Lytechinus pictus: one gene and its partner. The protein of the gene in region 1 interacts with the protein of each later gene in a pairwise test. Links are inferred from orthologs where the notes say so. Each region holds a gene or a part of one and is shown on either strand. Other genes may lie near its edges.

The links. The genes of interacting proteins can lie anywhere in the genome.
Region 2: the proteins of ras-related protein Rab-2A (region 1) and TBC1 domain family member 16-like interact in a two-hybrid assay, tested with the Drosophila melanogaster proteins (2 studies listed by BioGRID). The link is inferred for Lytechinus pictus from reciprocal best matches to the Drosophila melanogaster genes Rab2 and TBC1D16.

The regions. Positions count from the first base shown.
Region 1 is NC_087246.1:65,086,502-65,094,488, reverse strand, and holds the start of ras-related protein Rab-2A, read left to right. Parts: upstream 1-4,912; 5' UTR 4,913-4,995; coding exon 4,996-5,041; intron 5,042-7,231; coding exon 7,232-7,303; intron 7,304-7,987. UniProt on the Drosophila melanogaster protein: May be involved in bidirectional endoplasmic reticulum (ER) to Golgi trafficking. Together with Rab7 involved in promoting fusion of autophagosomes and endosomes with lysosomes, probably through recruitment of the HOPS tethering complex.
Region 2 is NC_087254.1:28,667,105-28,674,085, reverse strand, and holds the start of TBC1 domain family member 16-like, read left to right. Parts: upstream 1-3,884; 5' UTR 3,885-3,978; coding exon 3,979-5,274; intron 5,275-6,981.

The DNA of each region.
Region 1 (7,987 bases):
GTTGACAAGCAAAAAAAAGGTTATCAACAAAAAAATTAGGGGGGCCGTCCCCCCCACCTCAAATTTAGGGGGGACAGGACCCCCGTCCCCCCCCCCCCCCCCCCGCGCTTCCGCCGCCTATGGTTACTATTAACAGCGACGAGACCCATGATGTCACCCCAACCGTCTTCTGAAAAAAAATGTTCAGTTATTCAATAGTGTATTTATAGCCGACAAAGTAGCACGTACTTTCGGTGTCGCTTTCGGGGGGCGCTGAACAAAGAAAAAACAAAAGGGGAAAGAAAGAGAAATAAGGAGGGAAATTAAGAAATAATCAAAAGTTGAATGTAGTGAACAACCGAAGAAGTCTCATGTGCCAAAACTAATTAAAAAAATGAAAAATATAAAAACACACTAGATAAAGTCGCGATTAAAGTGGTACTCCGGGTTGAAAGTGTATATTTAAACAGATGACGAAAACTTAGACAAACTAAGCACTGAAGATTTCATCAAAATCGGACGAGGAATAACAAAATTATGACAATTTGAAGATCTGCATTAGTATATATAAATGAGCAAATTGATAATGTCATATATATCCTAACTTGATCTCATGTTCTTTTGTACTATTTGAAATGATTTGTCCTGCAAGAATGACAAAAAATTGGATTGACAATTGATTCAATGCATTGGATAAAAAAAATGTTTAAAGGTGCAGGATTTCAGTCTTTCTCCGGGCTTCTATGCATTTATGTGGTAAATCCATAGAAATACAAGTTTATTCTAACTAGGGGTTATGAATTATCCGAATGGATAAAGCTCCAAGAACCTTTAACGTGTCTGTCGATAGAGGTCAGTATGCAAGAAATCTTGGGTGGTTCGTGATCATGGCCCACTTCTCTCTATGATTACCCTGTTACTGATCGGAAACTAGACTCAACTTCAACAACAGACTTTAAAAAAACTTTAAAAACATCAGCAAGTAATAATGTCTAAACGATTTCAACTTAATATTTTCGGTGTAATTCTAAATAGGATGAAGACATGGGTAATCATGGTAACGCAGCAATACATTTCTTTGCATTTTTGCCAATACCTCGTGGGTCATTCGTATTTGTAAGAGCATCTTTGTTCAATTTCAATAATTGATTAGAATGAAGGTCTTTTTGCATAGCTTGCCTACATTCATGAATTATTTTACTGTTTCATTTTTAAGCAATGTCTTTATAGAGCTAAACTGGTTTAGTGTTTTAGTTAAACAATGAAAGGGGTATTACTCTAGGTTGAAGATCATTATATCTAAATAAAAGGGATAAATAAATGAGCAAAGTGCAAAAAAAAAATCATCGAAATCCGAAGAAAGACAATGTAGTCATTGAATATTGAAATATGTGGTCATAATTCATCAGGCGGTCTGATGATACCATGTCTCCATTTCCCCTTTTGTTATTTCATATTCTCACAAATAAGTGTAAAACATATATACATTTCAGTAATAAGCTAACATAATTATTCAATAGTCAAACTTGTTTCATGGAGGGTAGCCTAAACTTTGATTAATTATAATTTCGAATATCATGATACAAAGATGAATGATATAGGGCCTAGGGTTTTGACATCCCTCATTGCATATTCACGTTGACATGCACATGATGTAATTATTTTGCCCAAATTAGGCTCTAAAACAAACATGCGCAACCAAGGTTTAAGAGTCATGCTGAACTTAAGTGAAATAAACAAAAAAAATGTATCGAAATGGAAGTCTAAAGCTTCAAATTCAAGAACCTAAATTAAAATAGTGTTAGATAATTGACATGTAAAACAATTCAATCCAGTCAGCAGTTTCCCAAACTTGTATAAGGGGACCGAGGAACAGTTTTGAAGGGGCCGGGTGCTGAGCCATAAGATGGAGTAGAGGGTACTATATAGGGAATGGCCATACAAGAAAAAAAAACGATATTATCGATAGTATTTTACGTTTTATTCACGTTTATTGAAAAAAAAGTTCCATGCCCCTGCCAGAACAGCCATGCAACTCATAAATCAAGTCACCACACAGGTCATTGGTCTCATCGTTGTCAATCTATAGCTATACCTTCATGTACATATCCAGCAACCCAAAAGCTTATATTTTTTATGAATTATTTTTATTTTATTTCAAAATTATAATATTAAGAATTTATCGATAGTATTTCCATGATCTTCTCTTATAAATCTTAATAGTTGTATTCTAATAATTTACAGGATTCAAGATTTGTTCTTTACGTATGTGATACAACCATACAAAAAATGGTGAATTGATTTTAGGTTGTACGGCTTTTCAATGTTTATATTTAATTGAAAATATTATTACGCATGTGTATAAATGTAAGATAAAAAAATATATTCCTTGGAAAACAAATGATTATGAAATCAATCTTGTTTGGAAAAAAAATGTATATCAGGTATTTTGAGAACAAATTGAATTGATATAGAATTTATTCTTGACATTGTTTTACTTCATTTTCGTTAAGAATTGTCAAAAGTATGGATGTGTTGATCACAATTATTGTAAGTTCAAACCAAGCTTTGTAATTATGGTCAATTTGATTTAATACCGTATTGAATTAATGATCATGAATGTAATATTTTACTATGTTAAAATTTGTTTGATGAGAGAAGAGAATAAAATATTATTTTAAAAAGAGGGGACTTAGGAGTAATATCTACAATTATTATTTTTATTTCAAAATATAGAAAGACTACATCGTATATCAAATGCAAAATTTATTTCGGAATTTCAAGTAAAACTCAAAATATCAGCAAATTAAAAAGAGCATAATAAAGAAAAATCGTAAAAATTACCACTTAGTCCCTTCTTGCGGGAAGCTGACGTGGGTGAATGGAAATGTGTAGTCCTAAGTTGTTTTGGGTTTTCTTTTTTCCACGGGCATCTATATATAATATACAGTGCGTATTAAAAAAAACGGGACAGTTTTGAAAAGTCTATAAAAAATTTGTTTCAATTTATGACATCTATGTTTTAATGTTAATAGATGCTCTGAAATCTTATCTTTAAAATGCCATTCAAAAAACAAATTTTGTTCATGCTTGAGCGAACACGGGACGTTTTTGTAAGGGGTTCAAAAAGAGGCTTGCGCCAAAATGGCAGAAATGAGATATTTGATTATCAGACATCTTGCTAATCAGCAGACTTCCTCTTAACCTTTTCATTTTCTTTGCCACGATTTTCGAATTGTGCTGTCAAATTTCATTTACAAATTCATTTATTTACTTGAATTATTTTTTTTTCATTTAAACTTGTTTTACCTTTGAATTTTCCTTCATAAGTAAGAAAAGAAGACTTTTTGTCAACCCAAGCAAGAAGATTATTTGGGAAAACTTGTAATTATTCATATCATTTTATTATGTGAAACGAATTATGTTCTGGCACCTTTGAAAAAACATGAATCCTATTTTCAGGGGGTTATTGATTCCTTGACCAAGTTTAATTATGTGATTGACAGGACCATATATAGGTCCATTACAGGACAAACAGGTAAGGATTCATGTCTTTCAATAGCAACGATGTATTGAGTCAATTTTGAAGGAGCTAGATATGGCAGATCGGATAAAATGTATCAAAAAGTTGTGAGCGAGCGAAGCGGGCAAGCAAAAATTTCCACTTTTTTATTAAAATATCAAATTTTGTGATAGATTTTGACATAATATTCAAAAAATAATCATGGTTCACTTTTTATCTTCCCTTTTATTTCCTTTCCATTTTTTTTTTTATTGAAGGGGGGCACCCCCGAGCCCCCGCCAATCTGCATGCCACTGTTCAAAGGCACCATAACCTTTGTAGTACACAACGAAAGGATTTTTAAAAAAATACATGCTCTCCCATACTTCGGTTGAAATTTTTTTTTTTGCTTAAAGAAGGAATATTCAAAGCTAAAAGAGAACGTATTGAAATGTAACAGGAACAGAACAATTGAGGCAAATAAACAAATTTGAAAATGAATTTTGACCGCATAATTCGAAAATTATGGCAAAGATAATGAAAAGGTTAAAAATCTATTGATTAGCAAGAAGTCCGATCATCGGCATGTTATGCCATTTTGGCGCAAGCCTCCTTTTTAACCCCAGACAAAAACATTCCGTGTTTGCTCAAGCATGAACGAAACTAATTTTTTAATGGCATTTGAAAGATAAGACTTCAGAGCACCTATTAACACTAAAATATAGACATCATAATTTGAAACAAAAATTTTATAGACTTTTCAAATCTGTCCCGTTTTTTTTAAAACGCACTGTATACACGTACTATTCTTATTTCAGGCGTACAGTACAGGTGACATAAAACAAATTTGCCTCGTATAACCATGTGCTTTGTATATGACTATTTGAATGTTTTGCACTGTTTTTTTATGCATTGGCTTTAAAATTATATCCACCTAATTTCGAACAGAAAACAAATAAAGATCAGATTAATTATCATTCAATATTTATAGCCAACATGTTCATGATCTGTGCGGGTATAAAACCTTACCCAAACAGCCAAATCATAATTTGTTTTCAATTCTCTTTATTATCCTTTTAATAAATAATGTAAACGCCAGGGGGTTTATTGCACCAAATCGGGCACCAAATACAATACTGTATTTCTAATAGACCACTATTGCTATTTGACAAGTTCATCATATGGAAATGTAAAATACTAGCATATGGTGACTTGACTTTAATTACCCAACTGGTTTCGCTCATTACGTTTTTCTTTGTTCTCTTTGTCGCCAGTCTCATGAGACCGAATGTCATAGTCTATTCCTACAGGAGAAGACGTTTTAGCGCTCAAAAATCTATAATTTGCAATTTTCGCATCGTGCAGAATGAATGTAAACAAACAACAAATTGGGATTTAATGATTGTGCGCAGGCGCAATGCACTATGTTCACGTTGAACCGTCTAGTGACGTCATAAACCGAACACAGCCTGGGAGTTGTATTCTGCACAGAAAATCACGATTTTTCCATCAAAATGTCGTACGCATATTTATTCAAATACATTATTATAGGAGATACAGGTAAGGTTGATCATTTTATTTTACTTGGTTGATTTTTAAACTAAAACACTTGTGTAATTGACGGTTTAAATGTCGAGCCCCACTGCATTTGTAAATTTCGTAGTTGAAATGAAGACGAGAAACGCATAACGTTATCGTTGCAATAGACATGCACATGATGCTAACCAAATTGGCAATGCATTGACATTGTGATCCATTGCCAATGCAAGATTGCAATGGCCAATGCCATGTAATCTGGATGCCTACCAAGTTGCATGGGTTTCCAACCCTTCTGTAAGTGTAATCATCATGTTTTACTTTTGGTAAAATTGATGGGTAGACAGCTGGCAGCCGTCTGTTCCGAGGAGTTTTTAAACATTTTTATTTATTTTTATTTCTCCTCGTACACAGACGGCTCGCTATCGTGCAGCCACCATTTAGGGACTTAACATTCCCGGAGGGGGGGGGGGGGGTACTCGACTAAAAAGTGGTAGGTATAGTGAGACCACTACCGGTACATATCGACCACCTCTTTTGAAACCGACCACCTTGCGCGCATTAAAATTATTGCGTATTACTATTACAAACGATACGCGTGGGAGAGTAGGCGCAGTGTCCATAGGAACGGTAAGAATCAATTTTACGAGAGAAAAAGAAGGGGGAAAAGGTGAAAATTTAGGAGAATCTATCAAAATTGTTTTGACTACAGACTAGACCCGAACCCGCCCCGTTTCCGAAACGGCTTTACCTTTAGAACAAATATCCGTCGTCAATCGTCGAATCATGTGCCGGAGCTCGCAGTGGAAGTAGTGAGACGATCATTTAGCATGTGGACTTCATAGAAATGATCTGGAAGAGTCAAAATATTTCGCCACCGCGACAAAAATCGGCCGTAACTTAGTGTATCGCGGGTGGTCGGTTTCAAAAGAAGGGTGCAAATGAGCAAATGTAAAACCGTCGTATTTGTTGTTCGCCGATATATACGCGAATTGAATCGGAGTTGCTGATCGAAACATGGGAATCTGATCTGCTCAATTTTCTGCACAAATGAAATGAAAACTAGGTTAATCTGATAAATATTTTCGCAGATTCGATGCTTAGAAAATTAGGTGGTCAGTAGAGGCGCACGGCCAATATTGGAGACTGTCTCCAATGTGGGAGATTATCTCCAATATCAGAGACTTTTGTAAAGAATTTAGGTATCCAATTTCAGAGACAGTCTCCAGTTTTGGGGTCCAATTTCCTTTGTTTACATTTGCTGCAAAAGGATTAACTTGGCGGCAAATAAAAATGTGATAAGCAGATTCCTCATGAAAAATTACCCCTTTTCACCGTCTACTTTAAAAATTCACCGTCTACTTTTGTTTTGATAAGGATTTTTGTTGTCAATCACACACAAAACAAATGGGCTTCTGACCTCAGTGAGACAAAATGTTGGGTGGAAAAAATCATGCTTTTGTTGGTGTTGTTTCTTTTGTCCTTTTGCAAAGCAAGTCTCCAATGTGGGAGATTGTCTCCCCTATTGGAGAGAGTCTCCCATATTGGCCGTGCGCCTCTACTGGTGGTCGATATGGTGTAGTTACAACCATATGTGCCGCGGGCGAGACAAATAACGGGGGCTCTGGAGCAGGCTTCTTGTAAAAAGGAGGGTCCTCGGAACGGGCTTTGGAGCTACAAATGTTTGTGAAAACAGGGATCCTTGGAACGGGTCGCCTGTGTGTGAGTGCGTATGCTTCCCAATGCCATGGAACGGGCTTACGTGCATGTACCTCGAGCGATGTTCGTGCAGGCTCCACTTCACTACCGCTACACATCGCTCCACCTGCCCGAACGAGTGTCAAAGGTGGGATTTTATGGGGGGAATATAAAATTCATGCAACATCACAATCTTTAAAAACAATTAAAACTAATATTCTTACTTTACACAAAGTCTCACTTCTTTCCCATGCTTCTATCAGTCTCAAAATTGGTGATTTAGAGCCAACATGAAGTTCCTCACACGTATAAATAATTCGCTGCCGATTTCAAAACATCGCATGCACAAGGGTCTCTGCATGCGCGAGGGTCCGAGACCCTCGCGCAATGAATAAAGGTGTGTAGTGAGCAGTTTTGTATAATCAGCATGTCGTTCCTTTATAAAGCAAAAATAAAAGAAATGTGATGCAATGATAAAATTATTATGCATTCTTTTACATTTTATTCCATTAACAGGTGTTGGTAAATCCTGCCTCCTTCTCCAGTTCACAGATAAACGATTCCAGCCAGTCCATGATCTCACAATAGGTATGTCAACTCTTTAATAAGAATGCATTTGCAGTCGGTTTATAAAGAATACTCAAGGAATGAAAAAAATCGGGGGGGGGGGGGGTTACAAATATATAATATAAGTCACACTGACATGTAAATTTCCAGTTATATGTGGTAGGTTTATACCATAATGCATCACCGCATTAGGGACACTCCATATTACTCAATGTGATTATGCATTAAAGCCTGTCCTTTAGCTTTGATAAAGTGTCAGTTGTTGAATGAATATTTTACCCAAGTTACAATTAAGATATGGCATTTTTATGGCCATTAGGATATGAATTGAAATCTAGCACCCCCCCCCCTTTCATTGGTAATGTTTTTATTTGAAATATCTGTTTGAGCACTTCATACATTTGATAATTGGATATTGGATAGCTTCTGACAAAAGATTGTATATATGGCGATGTGTCATGAGTTCGCTCACCAAAAAGGGTGGTGCTGTTAATACATATTTTGATTAATTTGTTGAGTTATTTTTTCAAACCAAAGTAGCTTTGCCAACAAGTTTGGTATCATTTTAAAGCTGGATCCATTGGCTAATAATGTAGAAAATTTCATTGCTCTAGGATAGATAAAACTTGAGTTATATATCTATGGAGCACCAGGGGTGGTGCTGGAAGCCGTGCCACCTGTACAAAGTCAGTGGGGATTTTCAAT
Region 2 (6,981 bases), on another chromosome or scaffold:
ATTTTACACATCTAAAACATCTGGTCATGTGACTCATTAATATTAATGAGTATGTAAATAGCTGCCAATGTTATGTACCTGTGTATAGAGTTAATCAGATGACAATAAAATCAAATTATGTCATCACAAATAGTCAAAATACATTGCTATATTACACAGTGAGTGAATAAATATTGATAAAAATATGTTAGGAAATAATTTAGGCTCTGATTTTGTTTGAGAAATAAAAAAGTAAAATTCTAGCTAACTTTTTGAATTACTTACTACTTTCTCAACCTTATTTTTTTGTACATAATAGGTGCATATCTCAAATTTTCATTTCACAGGATGTTGACTATAGCAATGCTTTGCTATTGGCCTGTTGGGACATGGGCACTGATAAGGTCCTACTAAAATGTGTCAATATTTTCGTGCGTTGATAAATTCGCGGCCGATCCGCAATTCGCGAAATCTACGAAAATAGTATCTTTCATGAATGATATCACACTGAAATCAAATTGTGAAAAATGACCCAACACATTTTCATAGTCTTTTGATAAGGAATTTATCTTCTTGGGAACAGAAAAGTTTGCAGAACTGTTTTCTATTTAAAAACAAAAATTGCCCATATATGCTCTGAATTGTGTTTGAGTTGAATTAATTTTCCATAAACATAACATACTTTTCTAATAAAATATTTTTTATCAGAGATAAAGTGTCTCAAATGCTAGACTATGCCATTCTCCTACCTGGCGCCGTGCGATGCATTCATTCAATATTCATCATTTAAAAGCAAAATGGGTTTGAGCTGGTGAGTGGTGAGCATCAAGTATCATCTCCCCTCGTTCATCCGCAAATCTATATTATAAGCAAATCATCAATTATTATATGGAAGAGGAATTGATTGTGTGTTACAGTGGTTAGACATGAATACTACAATAGAACTGATATTCAATTCAGAAAGTTGTCTCCATTTGAAAATTGCTTCTCAACGGGATGCTGTGACATCTGTTTGAAGCTAGCAGAGCATCTGTTTGGGAATGTATGGATCTTGCGATACAGCCAATACATGTACAGTGTATATGTGATTTTGAGCAATTTGGATATCGCATTAAAATCCAGAGTTTCTGATCAAGGATAGGAATTTGTACTTTGGGTCATCATTGATCATCCTTTCAGTGCAGTTCTCTTTACATCAATTTTTTTCGAAAAATAAATATTTCACTTTCACAATATTTGGATTAATTTCTTTTACTTCTGTTTCTCGGTGTGTATCATAAATATTAGGTGAGTGAAGTTGAATATATGTTTTATTTACTCACCTTGGTTTATCATTTTGATGATTCCTTCTGTCCTTTCTTCCCCTTCATTTATTCATTGACTGACGGACGGACAGACTCATTCAGTCATTCATTTCACCATTACAGAAACATCAATAACATTGACCTGACAATTTGACAAGTAAATTTTAAAAACCATCTCATCTCAGCCCTCATGCACTGCTGTGTGACATACACTGTCCATTTTCACTAAAAATAACAATGTCATTTTCAACTTAATTTTGAATTTGCTAATTGTTAAGAATTTTCATTTTTTTTCTTTTTTATCCCCTTCCACAGGGTTCTTTATTTTCAAAAAGCATAATTACACTGTATAAACATTTCAAATTTTTTTTCAGAAAAACAGTAAATAAACATGGTATATACACAATTCCTAATAAATAGCCATTCAGTCAACCTGACCTATTATACAATCAATAAGTTGTGACAGCCAAAGCAAATTTGGCAAGAAAAATAAGAGATATGATACATATATCTAAGAAATAAACATTGGTAATAATTATGTTTGTTAAACTTAAAGGTGACAGATTGCCAGCTTGTTCGAAAAAGTTTCTGAAACGTCCATGATTTTATACAATTGTACACTGTATGTGGTGTACAATATGTATTTGTAAACAACTGAATATATCAAATGACCCTATTAGGCCTGGTTATTAATGGTCATAAAGAATGCAAATGGTATTACCTTACAAGTGAATGGTACTTAATAATGCAGAATGAAAATGAAAATAGGACAACTTAATTTATGTGACCTATTTTCTACTGGATTATGAATGTGTACGCCCTATAAAAACAGTTATGATTTGGACTACAAATTTTTGCAATTTTTCATGAATATACACTCGGCAAAAAAAGTTCTTGGACACTTAGAAAACTTTAAAATTTTCATATAGATATTTGATTAAAGGCAAATTATTGTATGTCAACATGACCAGACAATATTCCTCTTCCAGTATGACATGACATTTTCATGTTAACAGTCATGCATGGGCGGTTAAATGCTTTAAACAATAGCAATGTCAGTAAAAGAAAATTGCAAGAAATGGATCAGTCAGTGCATGGCTGGTTACAGGCATTAAACAATAGCAATGTCAGTAAAAGAAAATTGCAATAAAACAATCAGTCATTCTTTCAATTGTGAAAGGTTATGTGGCATAAATATCCATTAAATTATAAAAGCAAACTTAAAGTCAAATACCACTCTAAAAGAGAAGAGAAAGTTATCCACCTTGGATGCATCACTATTCCACTGGAATTTTAAGTCAAAGTTAGTCGATGAAAAAAATGTCAAATTTCAGTATCTTGGCATAAGCAAAAGAAAATTCAATATCTCGTTTGTCCACACTGGCTCTGAATGAGTGCAGCACATTGACGTCGCATGCTTGTCACAAGTCGACGAATTTGCTCTGGGGTGATTTTGTCCCATTCTTCCAGGAGATAACACCGGACATCTTGAAGAGGGTCTCCTGGTTGAATTCTTTGATTGACCGATTTTCCTAGCTGATCCCACAAGTGTTCAATCTGGTTCATGTCTGGTGAACAAGCGGGCCATGGATCCAAGCGCTGAACATTGTGGTCATCCAGAAATCTTTGGACAATGTTTGCTCGATGGGGACAACCCCCTGTTGAAATTGTTGAATGTATGCCTACAGGATGGCCATGATCATTAGCTTTTGAATGGTCCATTTCTTGCAATTTTCTTTTACTGACACTTCTATTGTTTAAAGCATTTAACCGCCCATGCATGACTGTTAACATGAAAATGTCATGTCATACTGGAAGAGGAATATTGTCTGGTCATGTTGACATACAATAATTTGCCTTTAATCAAATATTTATATGAAATATTTTAAGTTTTCTAAGTGTCCGAGAACTTTTTTTGCTGAGTGTTTATTTTAATCCGTACTTGGTGACATCTGATCATGCATTTTCTTTTTAAAAAGAATTCTATATATCATAGAATAGGCTGAAATTTCAGGAGATGATTATCTATAGATTTCTGATAAGCGCTCACTATCAATTTTATTAAAGATAAATGCAAGAGCCTGTTGAAAAGGAAATAGAAATATTGTCAAAAGAGGGTGTAGAACTATGAAACAATGTCAAATTTTAATTCTAATGGTTGAAAAATCAATTTATGTCCACCTCACTTTATTAGGAATGTTAGATGATACTAGAGTATATATTAACCCTTTATCAAAGCTTTAGCTAAGCTTTCAATGATGAATACATTTTTATGCATGAAAATACTGGTCTTTTCCCAGATACATGTCTACTGCAGCTGCCATAAAAAGATGGATGAACTTTTCAAAAGCAAATGAGATAGAAACCTGAAAAAGCCATAAATTGCTTATTATATAATCGAATTCCCAAATTCATGGGGAAATTAAAATGATAATAAATGTTCTGTGTAAAGTCTAGGATGTGACCTGCATATCATGACATGTAATGGTAAAATTTACCCTTTTTACTCTACATGTGCATGCCATGCCCCCTGAAGTTGTTTCAATTACATGTACATGCTAATTTAAATGTATGTCTCTGAATCCTTTTTTCTTTTTACAGATTCTGAGGCTTAAAAACAAACATTCCTGAAGTTGGGAATATTCCATGTAGTACAACTTGATGAAGTGTTGAGTTTGAAAGACTGTCTGCCGTCATGGCCTACCTCCTGAAGAGGTTTAGTGACTTTCTTGGAATATCCGACCCTGAATATGTGAGAGCGCCCCCACTGGATGGAGAAATAATCTTCTGCAAGAACAATGTGTGCGTGCATCCGCCATCCGTGCTGTCAACCACCGTGGAGCACCATCCAGGATACCTTACAATCCGTGCCCAGAGGGTCTCTGAAAGACAGACATCCCTTGTGCTCACATGGATCCCAAACACATCCTTGAACCAGAGGAAACGCTCCAGCTGCAGCACCAGCAGTCCCGCCAGAGTGACCTATGTGGATATCCGCAAGCAAATTGCTTTGAGGAATGAAGCCCAGTTGGACAATGTCAGTGGTGATAGCCTGAGTATATTGTCAAAAGAGGAGGAGGCTGTGAGGGAGAATGCCTGTAAAGAAAAGACAAAGGAGTCTTGTCGGAATGAGAGCCCTCAAGGATCGATTCAAAGCTTCCAGGACTCTGGGATTGGAGAGGGAGAACGTCAAAAAATGGGTAAAGACAGTGGTGTTGATGGTGCATCAGGGAATGAAGCTTGTAATAAAAATGATGCGGATAACAAGACAGTTGAAGGCCACAAAGATGAGGTTTCATCTGAAAGTGATGAGCTGTCAACAGAACAGAGACTTGCAGCTCTGCTGAACAGTCCAGGGGATAACCATAGCCCAGTGGGTCGGCCAATTAAATTGGAGCTCCAGACCAAGATGAAGGTTCACCCACCTAAAGATGATGAAGACAAGGACAGTGTCAGTAGTTCCGATTCAGATGACTCCGAGACCTTCAACAACATCCTGGAACGCCTCTCCAACGACGTCCTTCCAAGGCAGATGTCCCGTCGCTCCAGTTCTACAACTCCAACCACCTCCAACCAGGACCCATCCTCCTTGCCTTCCACCCCTAGCCCTGATGAGAGCTTTGATCCCTTTGTCCCGCTCTACAGCCTCCATAGCAGTTCAACCTGCAGCCCCGAGATCCACCCATCTCCGATCGCCACCCACAACCTGACCTTCCCTGAGAACTCTGTGTGCTACCGTGGCAAGGTCATCTGTCCTGGTTCCCCTGCCAGTGCTCCAGCCAGGGACCAAGTCTGTGGAGTGTTTTCAGTTGACCTGTGCCAGATGAGGTCCTTGAGAATCTTCTTTGCGGATGAGGAGTGTACCAACGGACAGATGGTCATCGCGAGTCGAGAGAGTCAGTACAAGATACTGCACTTTCATCATGGTGGTCTGGATAAGATGACCGAAGTCTTTGATCATTGGAAGAACTGCATCAAACTTTACAATCAGGTTAGTGAGAAAAAAAAATTCATTCAGTTTCAAGTTCTTGATTTGAAAGTTAGTCAATGTACAGTCAAAGTTTAGATAACAATTCCCATCCCCCCAGAAATTTTTAGTAAATAAGATTGGAGGGAAACCATGAACTGAATTGTAAAAGTGCAATTTTATGAAGACAAATATTGGTTCAATGCTTCGTGTCCTTTAATTTCATACTCATATTTAATAATATGCTGAGCACTATCAAACTAGCACTTTGTCATTTTAGGAAGTTTCCCTCACATACAATACATGTGCAATTTGGTGGATTCATAATATGGTGCGCCATCTATCAGTTGCAGCCGACAGTCCAAAATTCGCAATACCTAATGGGAAAAAGTCAACATCTGTTGCGTGCTATTGCTAGTGTATGCATGTGATTATGCTGTTTACTAGGGTTCAGGAGGAGGGAGAGAAATTTGCTGCATATTTCTTTGCTAAAATTAAAACCGTTTTTGGTGAATTCTTCCTTCACTGTTGCCAAATCATTTTCATTTTTGAAGCATCACACACTGTGCGCTGTCTGCGCCTGCGCGCGATGTTGACCCCGAAGTTAGAAATTTGGCCTGTCCGCTGCAACGGATAGATGGCGCACCATATTGTGAATCCACCGAATTAATTAAACTGTATAATCCAGTAATACTGGGTAGTTGTTTTTTACATTTCACTATAGGTTCACAAAATGCATATCGCATTACTCCACCTCTGCTATATGTGCTGCTCATGGTGTAAACTTGAGATCTATAAAAGCATTTTTTTTAAGTACTGTATTTGCTGTCGAAATGCCAGGGCTAAGGCACCTCATATTGGCTGGTTATTAATTCATTACAACCAATCATGTGCATAGATACAGTGTAGGTAGAGAGCTGTGAAGTGAGTCCCAGTCTGCCCTCTGCTCATTACCACGCTACAAAGGCCTAAGTTCTCGCTATTGGATTTCCAATTTCCTATCTGATCGAACATCACCTTTTTTTTCTACTAATATCTTTATCCACATTCCTCTGTATGTATGTCTCTTTCCATCTCTTTTTTTTTCTTCTCTTGTTCTGTATTTCTTTCCCTATTGTGAATCAAAGCTACGGTACATGCCATTTTCTCTCCATCACTATTCGCTTCCTTTCTATCGCTTTCCCTTGTATCTGACACTTTCTGTTTCTAGATATTTCTTTTACTTTTAATGTGTGTGTGTTACATTTATGTGTGTATGTTTCTCTCTCTCTCTCTCTCTTGTCCTTTTGTGGTATTGTGCTCTTTCTATATTCCTTTCATCCTTCCTACATTCCTTACTCTCTTTCTCACCCCTGTCCCCTTTTTCTTTCTCTACCACCCCCTTCCTCTCCTCCAGCTCTCTACTCTGTAAATCACTCTCCTATATCCTTCCCTCTTCCCTCTCAGTCTCTTCCCCTCTCTTACCTATTGCCACCATATCTTGTATAGCCTTCTTTTCTCCATCTGCACGTATGCCATTGCCATGCTAATACCACACTCATCTCTTTTAGAGGTGTTTGACTGTGTGGAAGTGGTTCATATGTACACCTACTATGCATGCTAATAACATCATTAAATCTTAATTTAGACAGCCAATTAATTGATCTCTACAATGTGGATTTTATATTAATTAATGTCTATTGCTCAATCCGAATCTGCATTATTCACCGCAGTAGGCCATTTGATTCGAAC